Arabidopsis thaliana: one gene and its partners. The protein of the gene in region 1 interacts with the protein of each later gene in a pairwise test. Each region holds a gene or a part of one and is shown on either strand. Other genes may lie near its edges.

Region 1 (3,751 bases):
ATCTTGAATTGAAGACCCTGTCATATGACTTGGGGCCTGAACAATATTTGGCGACTGTAACTGCACAATTCAAGAATGGCAATAGTCCTCTTAAGACATGACAGATAGATAAAGAAGGAAGTAGCACAAAACTGTTCGATAAGATGGAAAACTTACCACTTGCGGACTCACAATCCCAAGCATTACCTGCGCCTACAAGGGTAGACAAAGTAAAGGTTCAAATATGGTGTAAGTATCATAAGAAATATTTGTCAATAATGAAAAATGATTTGCACAATAAGAGGATGAGTGAGTACCAGGAAAACAGCTTTTAGCAACTGAGGTCTTGAAACCAACAACTGTCTAGCATGTTCCTTATTTTGTGTAGCCATTAACTGACATTGAGAGAACACAATCACATCACACAACTCGCTTCCAATAGTATAACAATGCACCCAAAAAAAGAAAGAAAAAACGATATCAAGATTCACACCTTAATGGACGATATAATTTCAGTAAGCTGACTTCTTGACATCTTGGCTAGATGAAGAGCCAGGGGATCACTAGCTGGAACCTGCAGATTACTTTGCGTAAACTGCGAACCGACCTGAGGACCACCTAGCGCACCCGCTATAACAGATGCAGCTGTTGTAGCAAGGTGGAGACCAACTGGCTGATGCATATTTGAATCTACTGGCCCTCCAATCTGCTTTTGAGACTCTGTCACTAAACAGCCAAAAGAAAGAAGAACAACGATAAGTTTGTGTTCATCCAAACACAATTGCAGTCAGTAAAGTATCAGAGACTGAAAACAAAACATACCAGTAGTAGTAGATGGCAAACCAGGTCCTCCTTGACTCTGAAAACCCAAATTTACCATCTTTAGTTATAACTTCTTGACAACAGTTAAAAACCATCCAACATTGAAAGAAGAAAGAGAGAGAGGAGTAACCTGATCACGGGTTTTGTCAGTGCCTTTGTCATTCTCAGCAAAATCAACTCTTAATTGACGACCATTGATTTCATAACTCTGAAGATTACGACGAGCACTTAATGCTGTTTCTTCGTCTTTATACTCACAAAATCCGTAGCCTTTTGGTTTACCAGTTTCTCTATCCGTAACTAATCTGAATCCAATAAAGCAAAGTTTTTTAGGCTTCTGTGTTTCGTTTGTTTGAAGAAAAGTGTTTCCTTTATCAAAACCCTAAATCATAATTGAACGATAAAACTGACCTAAACGAGACAACAGGTCCAACTTCTCCACAAATTTCTCTAAGTTGTTCCTCGGTCGCGTCGTAAGGAATGTTCCCAACTAAAATAGACGAAGAAAGTCGAAAACTTTAAGCCAATTGAATCCAAAATCGAAGAGAATTCACAGAGTGATAATGGAAGAAGAAGAAGAAGAGTGAGTTACCAAAAACGCAGCGTCGTTGGGATGATGATGAAGCCATTGGGGATTATTAAGAGAAGATAACGAAGAAGAAGGTGAAGCGCTGCTTCATCTTCTTCCTGCTAAGTAACGGGTCGAGATTCAAATCGAATTCGAAACAGTTGAGTTTCGTTAAATTCTTCTGAAGAGAGAGATCTTTCGTATTCGTCGTCGATAGGAGACTTTTTGTCTTTATTTTTCAGTTTTTGGTTTTAAAGAGTTAAGAAGAGAAGACGAATGAAATTATTTAGCAAAACGATTAGTACCGTCGTCGTCGATATTTATTTATATCTCTCTCTACAACAAGAATAAAAAAAAGAAAGCCGAAAAAGGAAACTGATATTTTGGTTAAAAGGAAATTTATTTTAATATCTTTTTTTATATGTTGGACAAAAATATTTGTATAGTTATTGATTAGGTTGTTATTAGTTACTGACCGTCTAGATGGCACCTAGGCGCTAAACGGACTCATATGGCGATTACATCAAGGATTCTTACTTTCTTTGTCCATTCGGTATGCATGTCGAAGGCAGTGCGATATCACTAAATGAGGTTTGATGCTTTAGGTCCTAAGTTCACAACATGTCGCAGCCACCACTGATTCTGCTATTCTATACTTTTGGAGAAAACCAAGCATTTCCATAATATTTATACGACTTTTAAAACTGCATCATTCGTTATATTTATGGGAAAAGATGGTCACATGATGGTGAAGTCAGAGAAAAACATGGGAGTAAGAGACATCCACACAAAACACTCGGAGAAGCGTTTAAGATCAGACCAACCAAAACAAACAAATATCGAGACCTTCTTACATAAAGCGTGATCGGAGGAGCATCAGGTCAGGTGTCAGGCAATCTCATTTGTACAATCTCAGCTGGTGGACGCAATGTGCAAACCATTTCTCTTGTCTTCCCAAAGTAAACCTGCGCTTTTCACCAAACAATTCTCAAACCCTTGAAGCTACGCACATTACGTTATTCTTTTCTCTTGGTCTAGATTAATTCATGAGATGTTAGAAAGTGATTTGATCTAAAACTTATCCTACAATTCTCGTTTACTTATTTTGGGGTCTGCCAAGCACCACAGAACAACTGTAGCATGAGCTTTAACTAACTAAGCAATCCGAATGCCGGTAATTAAGAAACCATTTTCAGCATATATGGCGGTTACACAAGTAGACGGAGTTTGTGGAATTGGTGCAGGGATTGGAGGTAGAACCTGATCAAGTGAGTTCCTCAGTTTGCCTTCCAATTCTTCAATCATTCTCCCCATATTGCACAGGTGTCCGTCAGCTACTGCTAGCTCCATTTTCATCTAATTTCAACAGTAGCAGAATAATGTTATTCTTTTACAGATATTTGGTTTTCCTCCATTGAATCACAATTCATACCAGGAACTATTTATCTATGAAGGCATGGGCTAAATAGAAGCTAATACTTACTTGTCTTCTAATTGATCCAGATAAGCCGAATTTGCCCGAAGACTCATCATCAGTTGTCAGAGAAAGCATGATGGTACTTGTTAAGCAATATTGTGCCATTTCCTCCTCCTCTGAACCAACCTAGTTGAGAACCTCAGGCATTAGAAGCAAAATATGAAGTCTCATTAAAGAGCTGCTTAGGAAACTATGATAAAGTTGCAATTGAGGGTGGTATGTGTTACAAAATGGGCAACATTTTAAAACACATAAGGCACGCTTGGTAATGGTATGTTAAGAGAGTCACCTGTATAACATGTATGGCATCCCACGCTCCTTCCTCCAGGCATCCCCTCCGACCATGACCTGACTTTGACCCATCTTCGAAAAATAAAAACCAGAACAGCTCAGGTAAAGAGTTTTTATTGCCTAACATTCAGTGTTATTGAACTCTACAGAAAGAATGTACCTTTCTTGATAAGGAAACATGCCACAAAGCCTTCATTATCATCCTCCCACATGTAGACTGAAGATATACCACCTTCATAATACCTGGAAAAGAAAACTGATCAACACAGGTGTTCTTTTGGTAACTTTGCAAGCTTTTTTCAGTCTCCAGTCTAATGGATACATTAGAAGAATGAAACACATATCATATATTGTTAAACCATGAGATAAATCTCACGACTAGGCAAGCCTTTTTTTCAGATCAGATGCTAACTATGTCTCCGTCTTAGATAACTCAAATTACTTTCACTACATGGTTTTCATGTTGAACGAGGTAGGTAAAGAACCTCACTGGTCACGATAGATCGCAAAGATATCGTTGGCTTCAACTTCAAGCTTTCTTAATTCAGAAGATGGGTAAAGAGCATCCTCTAGCGGAGGAAGATACTTATTTGACCAAGGTGACCTGCAAAAGT
Region 2 (3,751 bases), on another chromosome or scaffold:
AAACTATAATAGAAAATCACCTGCAAGAAGAAACTCTCCTGACGGATGAAAAGATATAGAGCGCACGTTATGGGTATCCTGCAGAATTTGGAGTTAAAGATTGGATGAGATACAGTGTTTTCAACATGTAGCTAAACAGAAACTGATATAACAACCATGATCTCTACCTGAAAAACTTTGAATGCTCGTTTAGCCGTGGTTTTGGAGAAGTCGAAGAACCTACCACGTCACAAGAAATGACACAAAAACGAGTTGAACACAAACTTTTCTTGTAATCACCAAGAGAATTCATTTTAGGTAGGGAAAACGTAAATATATACTTTATACAGTTGTCTTTGGCACTAGATATTAGGATTGTGCTCCGAGGGTGGAAATCAAGATCGTTTATCGGCTGCAAATGATTATCACTAATTTAAGAGCCTGTTTAAGAGATACACAAAATCAGAACGGCAAAAATTTTGAAGAAAGAAACGCTTACTTCAGCATGATCATAAAAAGTCCGTATTAATGGTCGAGCTTGAGTATCTCCTGAAATCATCTGTTTAACTTTTGGCACCTCAAAGAAACAACACGGAATATCCACAGAACTATCAACTCTTGACGATGCTTGAAGGAAAAAAAGTTGGTACAATGAATATGACAAAAGTTTGGTACCTCAAAGAGCTTAATAGATGTGTCTGCACCACCAGTAGCAAAAAACATTCCATCAGGACTAAATCTTGCACACCTAACAACGCTCTACAAAATTCATAAACATATCAGCCAAAATAAAATAAAATAGCTTGGAGAAAAACATTATTAAGGGTTAGACAAAGTTGTGTCTACTGAGACATAAACAACGCAAATATATATACCTTGTGCTCTGATAGCGTCTTTGATTCATGCTTTGGGATAGTCTTTGATGAGCCCTTCGCATGATTAACACTAGTTCGAACAATTCCAAACATTCTTTAGATGGTAAGCAGTTTTGATTTCATCTCTTAAGAAACATAACTTATTGCAGAAAGGGACATCACCTAAAGTCGATAGAAGCTGTTCGAGGAGTAGTGATTGATCCATAAGAAGAAGGTAACAAGACTGATGAAGAAACACCTCTCAATGTCCCATTGTTCTCCGCTGCAAGACCCTGTTCTCATCTCAGAACCAAAACATTTCTTCACAGACTCCAAAAAAATATACAGAAACTTCAGAGGGTGCAAAACAATAACCTTTGCAACAAGCTCCAAAAGACGGTTTGGAGGAACCTCAATATTCAATGGTGTCATTGTTGCTGAAGCAACCGCACTTGCAACCTAAACATTTGATCTCAAAAATCAAAATTTTAACCATTCAACAGTAATGAAAAATCCAAACTTTTAGCACTTACTTCATCTATAAATGAATTTCAAAGTTTCAAAAAACAATCCAAAAATAGATAGACCCAGAAATCCCAATCCAAATTGGCGTGCGTATGTAAAGATACAAAATTGGAATCTGAGTGAGATGAAGAACGATAGCAAAAACATACTTGTGAGAGATTGTGATGACGGAGATGAGCTACAATAAGAGCATTGAGCTGTCTAAAGATATTCCCATCTTGCAGAGCCTGCTCCAAATCTCCACTATTCCCCATTTTCTTTATCACCTTATAACCCTAAAAACCTTCCTCACAAGTTCAATTCGAAACCAGAGTCGCCATTTCTGAGCTTACTCTGTCAAGTGTCAACCATCGTCTTCTTCCTCCTCCTCTTCAGAAACAAAGATCAACATGGGCCAATATTTAAAACTATGGGCTGAAATATAAACTAATGGGCCTTTGATATTAAAATATGGGCTGAAATATAAAATAATGGGCCTATGATATTTTAGTGATGATCATGTGCATGACACGTGCGTAACGGTCTCAAAGAAAATTTGAATTCGTACCTGAGCGGCGCTTATAATTTTAATTTCCATAATGGTTTTAAGTTTTGCCTTTCTTGTTTTTTAATTGTTGACCTCTCAAAATAAACAAAAGTCCCCCTTCTCTCTTTCTCTCTCTCTCTTCAAAATTTGAATTCTCAAAAATCGCATTTCCTGAGAATTTTCTTCTCGAAAATTACCCTAGCTCCTCCGTTTCTGGATTGGATCTACATTTTCGTGGTGTTGATTTGAGGTTTCGTTTCTGGATTAGATCCGTAACCAGAGGTTTTCTGGGTTTCTGCTCGGCGGTTATGGAGAGCACAGAGTGCGTTAGGGTTGCCGTCAACATCCGTCCGTTAATTACACCGGAGCTTTTGAACGGATGCACAGATTGCATCACCGTGGCTCCCAAAGAGCCACAGGTAATTCAATTGGAAGGGTTTTTCGTTTTTTCTGCGTTTATTTCTTCTGAGAGTTTTTCAGTTTTGATAAGATTCGTGGGATTATATATTGGTTAAATTCGGGAAATCAAATTTATGCGCGAATGAGAAATAACGTTTATTCTTCATCAGTTAATAGTTTTGCTGTAAGATTCGAATTTTGAAACATTTGGGATTTGTTTTCACATAGAACTGATTCGGTTCAATTCGGGAAATCAATTGATGCGTGAATGTTTTTTTTTTTTTGCTGAAAATATGTTTAAAGATTCGAACTTTGATAAAACTCATTTTGTTGGAATTTCTTATGAACTGAAACAGGTACATATTGGTTCGCATACATTTACTTATGATTTCGTCTACGGAAATGGTGGCTATCCGTGTTCGGAGATTTACAATCACTGTGTTGCTCCACTTGTGGATGCATTGTTTAAAGGATACAATGCCACTGTTCTAGCTTATGGCCAGGTTTGTTTTTAAATTCTCTAAACTCTGCAGTTCCCTTTAGCTACGTGTTTTTTTTTTTGGTTTGATCCATCAAATTCATTGTTTGTTTGTTGTAATTGAAGACTGGTTCAGGTAAAACCTATACCATGGGTACTAATTATAGTGGAGATTGCACAAATGGTGGCGTTATACCAAACGTTATGGAGGATATATTTAGAAGAGTGGAGACAACCAAAGATTCATCTGAACTATTGATACGAGTGTCTTTTATTGAGGTAGAAACAGCTTCTGTGTTTGTTATTTGAGATTTGATTTGTATATTTCACTTGCTGATTTTTACCTTTAAATGCAGATTTTTAAGGAAGAAGTTTTTGATTTGCTGGACTCAAATTCTTCGGCCCTCCTTAAAAATGACAGTGGCGTTCAAGCAAAGCACACTGCTCTCTCACGAGCTCCAATTCAAATCAGGGAAACTGCCAGTGGAGGAATAACATTGGCTGGAGTTACTGAGGCTGAAGTCAAGACGAAAGAGGAGATGGGCTCGTTTCTAGCACGAGGCTCTTTGTCTCGAGCTACAGGCAGCACAAACATGAATAGCCAGTCAAGGTGAATTTGTAATTTGAAATGCACTGTTTTCATTCCGTTTTCTTTATAACTACTTCAATACTTGAAAGAGCTAATGTGGCTGATCCACTAGTAGAGTTATGAGTACTTTTGCATCAAGATAAAATTTCATTATTAGATCATATTCTATGACCAATATTAAGAAATTATAGTTCTTACAAGTATACTAATGTAATGTTTGTTTCTTGCTTTTTTAGTCGGTCCCATGCAATCTTCACAATCACTCTGGAACAAAAGAAGATTGCCGGTGGTTCTTGCACAACAACTGAAGATGGAGGTGAAGATATATTATGTGCAAAGCTTCATTTGGTTGACCTAGCGGGGTCAGAACGTGCAAAACGAACAGGAGCTGATGGGATGCG
Region 3 (3,751 bases), on another chromosome or scaffold:
CTGCGTTGGTCTGATATATAACCAGTTCTGAATCTGAAAATCAACATTGTCGATTTTGGTAAAGATATTGAGTTTCATTTCTGTTGTTTTGATGCAGCCGCGCCTTTTTCGACAAGAGGCTCTCTCAGGAAGTTAGCGGAGATGCTCTAGGCGAGGTGAAATTTTTTCTCCTGGTTCAGTGTTTTTTTCTGATGTCTTGTGAGTTCAGTATACTTAACAGAATTGTGTGTGTTTTGAGCTATTTGCAGGAATTCAAGGGATACGTATTCAAGATCATGGGAGGATGTGACAAGCAAGGTTTCCCAATGAAACAAGGAGTTCTCACTCCAGGGCGTGTCCGTCTTTTGCTTCACCGAGGTACTAGATTCCACCCCATTGATAAAATTATACAGCTTCTCTTTTTTTCATTAATCTTCTGTGTTTTTTATTTATGTGATCTGGTTATTGTGTTTAGGTACTCCTTGTTTTAGAGGACACGGAAGGAGGACTGGAGAGAGGAGACGAAAGTCTGTCCGTGGTTGCATTGTGAGCCCTGACCTGTCTGTTCTTAACTTGGTCATTGTGAAGAAGGGTGTAAGTGATCTTCCCGGGCTTACCGACACTGAGAAGCCAAGAATGAGAGGTCCCAAGAGGGCATCAAAGATCCGCAAGTTGTTTAACCTTGGAAAAGAGGATGATGTGAGGAAGTACGTTAACACTTACCGCCGTACCTTCACAAACAAGAAGGGTAAGAAAATTAGATTCACTTAAAGAGATAATTGAAAACTGTTTATACGATTGATGATTTACTAATATATGAGGCTTCCATGTGCAGGCAAGAAGGTTAGCAAGGCTCCTAAGATCCAGAGGCTTGTGACTCCATTGACCCTCCAGAGGAAGAGAGCTAGAATTGCTGACAAGAAGAAGAGAATCGCCAAGGCTAACTCTGATGCAGCTGATTACCAGAAGCTTCTTGCCTCCAGACTAAAGGAGCAGCGTGATCGCCGTAGTGAAAGTTTGGCCAAGAAGAGGTCTAGACTCTCTTCTGCTCCTGCTAAACCCGTTGCTGCTTAAACTGCCTCAAGATTAAGAAATTTCTTTCTCTCTAGTTTGTTTCTGGTCGTATTTAAGTTGCTCCACAGACATGAGAACGCCATTTTGAACACTATTTTTGGTTTCTGTTTTGTGTCAACTTTTCAAGCCTTTTATTATATCAAAGTTTTGAACCTCTTAGTAGTACGTTTGTTATATTTAGTTCTTATTTATATGCCCGTTTGTTGATAGTAAATGACCAGATGTCTTCATTATTAGATAAACTGATGACCTACCTTTAAAGTGTTTTTTCCAAAAAGTGTAATGTTTTGAACCAAAACTCAATCTCGATTAAACTCTTTTAATATGGAGACCCGTCGCTGAAGACTGACTCCTTTCTTCAAGCTGGTGTTGATCGGAGACTATGGAGTCGGAGAATCGCTTCTACTGTCTCCTTATGCCATCTTCGCCGAAATCCTCTGTTTTACAACAGTGGTAAGTAAAAAACTAAAAAGGTTGGAAGAAGACGAAGAACTTTGCTTAACTGCAATTAAAATTTATTTATTTAACAAATGGCTGTAGATATGTTTTGGGGAAAAGTCATTCTTATCAATACCTTTGGAATAATTTGGATCAAACTGTATCATATTTTTGTGGATAATTTGTCTCTGATATAAATTAATCTGATCCATATTATGCAGTATTATTTCACAGACCTCTTAATTTGGTCCATAAATTTAATTTGATCCATGATATAATTTGATAAATTATTCACAAGCCTGTTTCTTCCATAATGTTTGGGGCCTATGATGGGCCGAATTGAATTTTGAAGAAAAATCAAAACCTTCAGATTCAGTTAGAGTGTTATGATAATGGGCTCTTGTAAGTTTGTAACCGAGGCCCAATACGAGACGACGTCGTTGTTTGCAATCGACCTATCTGGATCGGTAGGAAAAGTGTGCAAGTCGTTTTCATTCACCAAAGCGAAGCTTTATTCGTTTGCTTGAGCTCCGAAGAGTGGAAACAAAAATGGAGGAAGAAGAGCACGAGGTTTACGGTGGAGAAATCCCTGAAGTCGGCGATACGGATGTTCCCGATCCGGATATCGATATGTCTGCAGCCGATGAGGACGCCGTTACGGTCTACTTCTGCTTCGTTCGATTTTGATTTTGTTGTATATCGTGTGTATACATCTGTTTGATTTTTGGTGTTTTGATTTCATGGAATCAGGAGCTTGCTGAGATGAAGAGGAGATTAAAGGAGATGGAGGAAGAAGCTGCTGCGCTACGAGAGATGCAAGCAAAAGTCGAAAAAGAAATGGGAGCTACTCAAGGTTTTGTGACTCTTTCGTTTTTTTTTTGAATTCGTTTGCTCGAGACTATCTTTGAATTTGATATACTAGGAGGAATCTGTTGATTGTGTAGATTACTTTTAGGAAATTGAACTTCTGTTTCTTGCTTAACAATTTGTTTCAGATCCTGCTAGTATGGCTGCAAATCAAGAAGGAAAGGAGGAGGTGGATGCTCGATCAGTTTATGTTGGCAATGTAAGATAGCTTATTTTCTACTTCATGGTATCTCTTCTGTGCTTGAATCATTGTTTCATCTAAACGGCTTTGATCTGTTTGCCAATCTTAGTGTGGATTAGCTTAGGCTGACTATTTTGTTAACTTAAATTTCATCTTTGATAAAAGAACTGCTTGCAATTGTGTCTTAGCTTTGTTCTTTATCCCTTGAGATTACTGTTAGAATCTGTATCAAGAGGCTTTCTCTAAATTTAATGTTGTGAAGTAGGTTCTTTATTGTTTCTAGTTGAAGAGTTTGACCTCTATGTCCTATATAATCGCAGGGTTGTTCTCATAAATGAAGTTCTTAATAGCTCTGGGTTCTCAACTAAGTTTTGTGACTGTTTTGCTAGTTTCCTTGTTGTAGTGTTAAAATCATTCTTCCCGTGCAATTTGATGATAAAAAAGCTATAAAAAAAATGTTGAAAGTAAAAAGAAAAGAGAAGGAAAAAAATTTGAAAAAAAAAAAAAAAGATATAGCAGAAAAATGTGGAGAAAAATATTGCATGAGCTTGAAAAAAAAAAGAAGGATTTCTTGAGAGGAAAAAGGGAGTCTGAGTGAGTTGGGTGGGATTAGAAAGCAAGGTTTCTGTTATCCTTGAGGAGATGGTCTCTGAACTCTGAAGAGCTGGATCAAGATGCCAAGATGCTGGATGCTTTCTAAACAAGACCCAAAGCTCCGCAGGGAGGATACTTGGAGCTAATACAGGTTTGGTTGTTTGCGGATTTCGCGAGAGGCTGCAGTTTGATGCTGGCCTTTTATCATGTATTTTTGAACTCACGCTCATAAAATGAAGACTTTCATAGCGTTTATGTACCATACATAACTTAGGTCTAATGTTAGACATGGAAAATTGCTTTAGAACACACAAGTTTGTCTCTTGGCTTCCCTTAGTGGGGTGGTTAACTTATCTATCTGTTACGTTCTCAGTAAGTCATGGTTTTAGTTGTAATAAGAATGCTTGTGTTGTACTAAGACCTCATTATCCACCCTGCAGGTCGACTATGCCTGTACACCTGAAGAAGTGCAACTACATTTCCAAACATGCGGAACAGTCAACCGGGTAACCATTCTAATGGACAAGTTTGGACAGCCAAAGGGATTTGCTTATGTGGAGTTTGTAGAAGTGGAAGCCGTGCAAGAAGCTCTGCAGCTGAATGAATCAGAGCTTCATG

Evidence for each region.
Region 2: the proteins of CSTF64 (region 1) and AT5G60940 interact in a two-hybrid assay, tested with the Arabidopsis thaliana proteins (one study listed by BioGRID).
Region 3: the proteins of CSTF64 (region 1) and AT5G10350 interact in a two-hybrid assay, tested with the Arabidopsis thaliana proteins (one study listed by BioGRID).

The regions. Positions count from the first base shown.
Region 1 is NC_003070.9:26,997,285-27,001,035, reverse strand, and holds the start of CSTF64 (cleavage stimulating factor 64), read right to left. Parts: upstream 1,663-3,751; 5' UTR 1,431-1,662; coding exon 1,394-1,430; intron 1,292-1,393; coding exon 1,213-1,291; intron 1,107-1,212; coding exon 932-1,106; intron 839-931; coding exon 802-838; intron 706-801; coding exon 473-705; intron 375-472; coding exon 297-374; intron 193-296; coding exon 157-192; intron 61-156; coding exon 1-60. Other genes in the region: CPB (Subunits of heterodimeric actin filament capping protein Capz superfamily), read right to left, coding at 2,251-2,334, 2,630-2,725, 2,853-2,972, 3,136-3,209, 3,298-3,380, 3,628-3,741.
Region 2 is NC_003076.8:24,520,953-24,524,703, reverse strand, and holds the start of AT5G60940 (Transducin/WD40 repeat-like superfamily protein), read right to left. Parts: upstream 1,752-3,751; 5' UTR 1,613-1,751; coding exon 1,508-1,612; intron 1,293-1,507; coding exon 1,209-1,292; intron 1,127-1,208; coding exon 1,017-1,126; exon of another isoform or gene 948-1,016; coding exon of another isoform or gene 925-947; coding exon 855-924; intron 739-854; coding exon 655-738; intron 557-654; coding exon 479-556; intron 392-478; coding exon 321-391; intron 220-320; coding exon 168-219; intron 79-167; coding exon 21-78; intron 1-20. Other genes in the region: AT5G60930 (P-loop containing nucleoside triphosphate hydrolases superfamily protein), read left to right, coding at 2,193-2,303, 2,640-2,786, 2,888-3,040, 3,118-3,371, 3,587-3,751. UniProt on the Arabidopsis thaliana protein: One of the multiple factors required for polyadenylation and 3'-end cleavage of pre-mRNAs. May be responsible for the interaction of CSTF with other factors to form a stable complex on the pre-mRNA.
Region 3 is NC_003076.8:3,256,036-3,259,786, reverse strand, and holds the start of AT5G10350 (RNA-binding (RRM/RBD/RNP motifs) family protein), read left to right. Parts: upstream 1-1,975; 5' UTR 1,976-2,040; coding exon 2,041-2,151; intron 2,152-2,241; coding exon 2,242-2,344; intron 2,345-2,486; coding exon 2,487-2,557; exon of another isoform or gene 2,558-3,573; coding exon 3,574-3,751. Other genes in the region: EMB3010 (Ribosomal protein S6e), read left to right, coding at 98-155, 249-357, 455-727, 815-1,053. UniProt on the Arabidopsis thaliana protein: Involved in the 3'-end formation of mRNA precursors (pre-mRNA) by the addition of a poly(A) tail of 200-250 nt to the upstream cleavage product.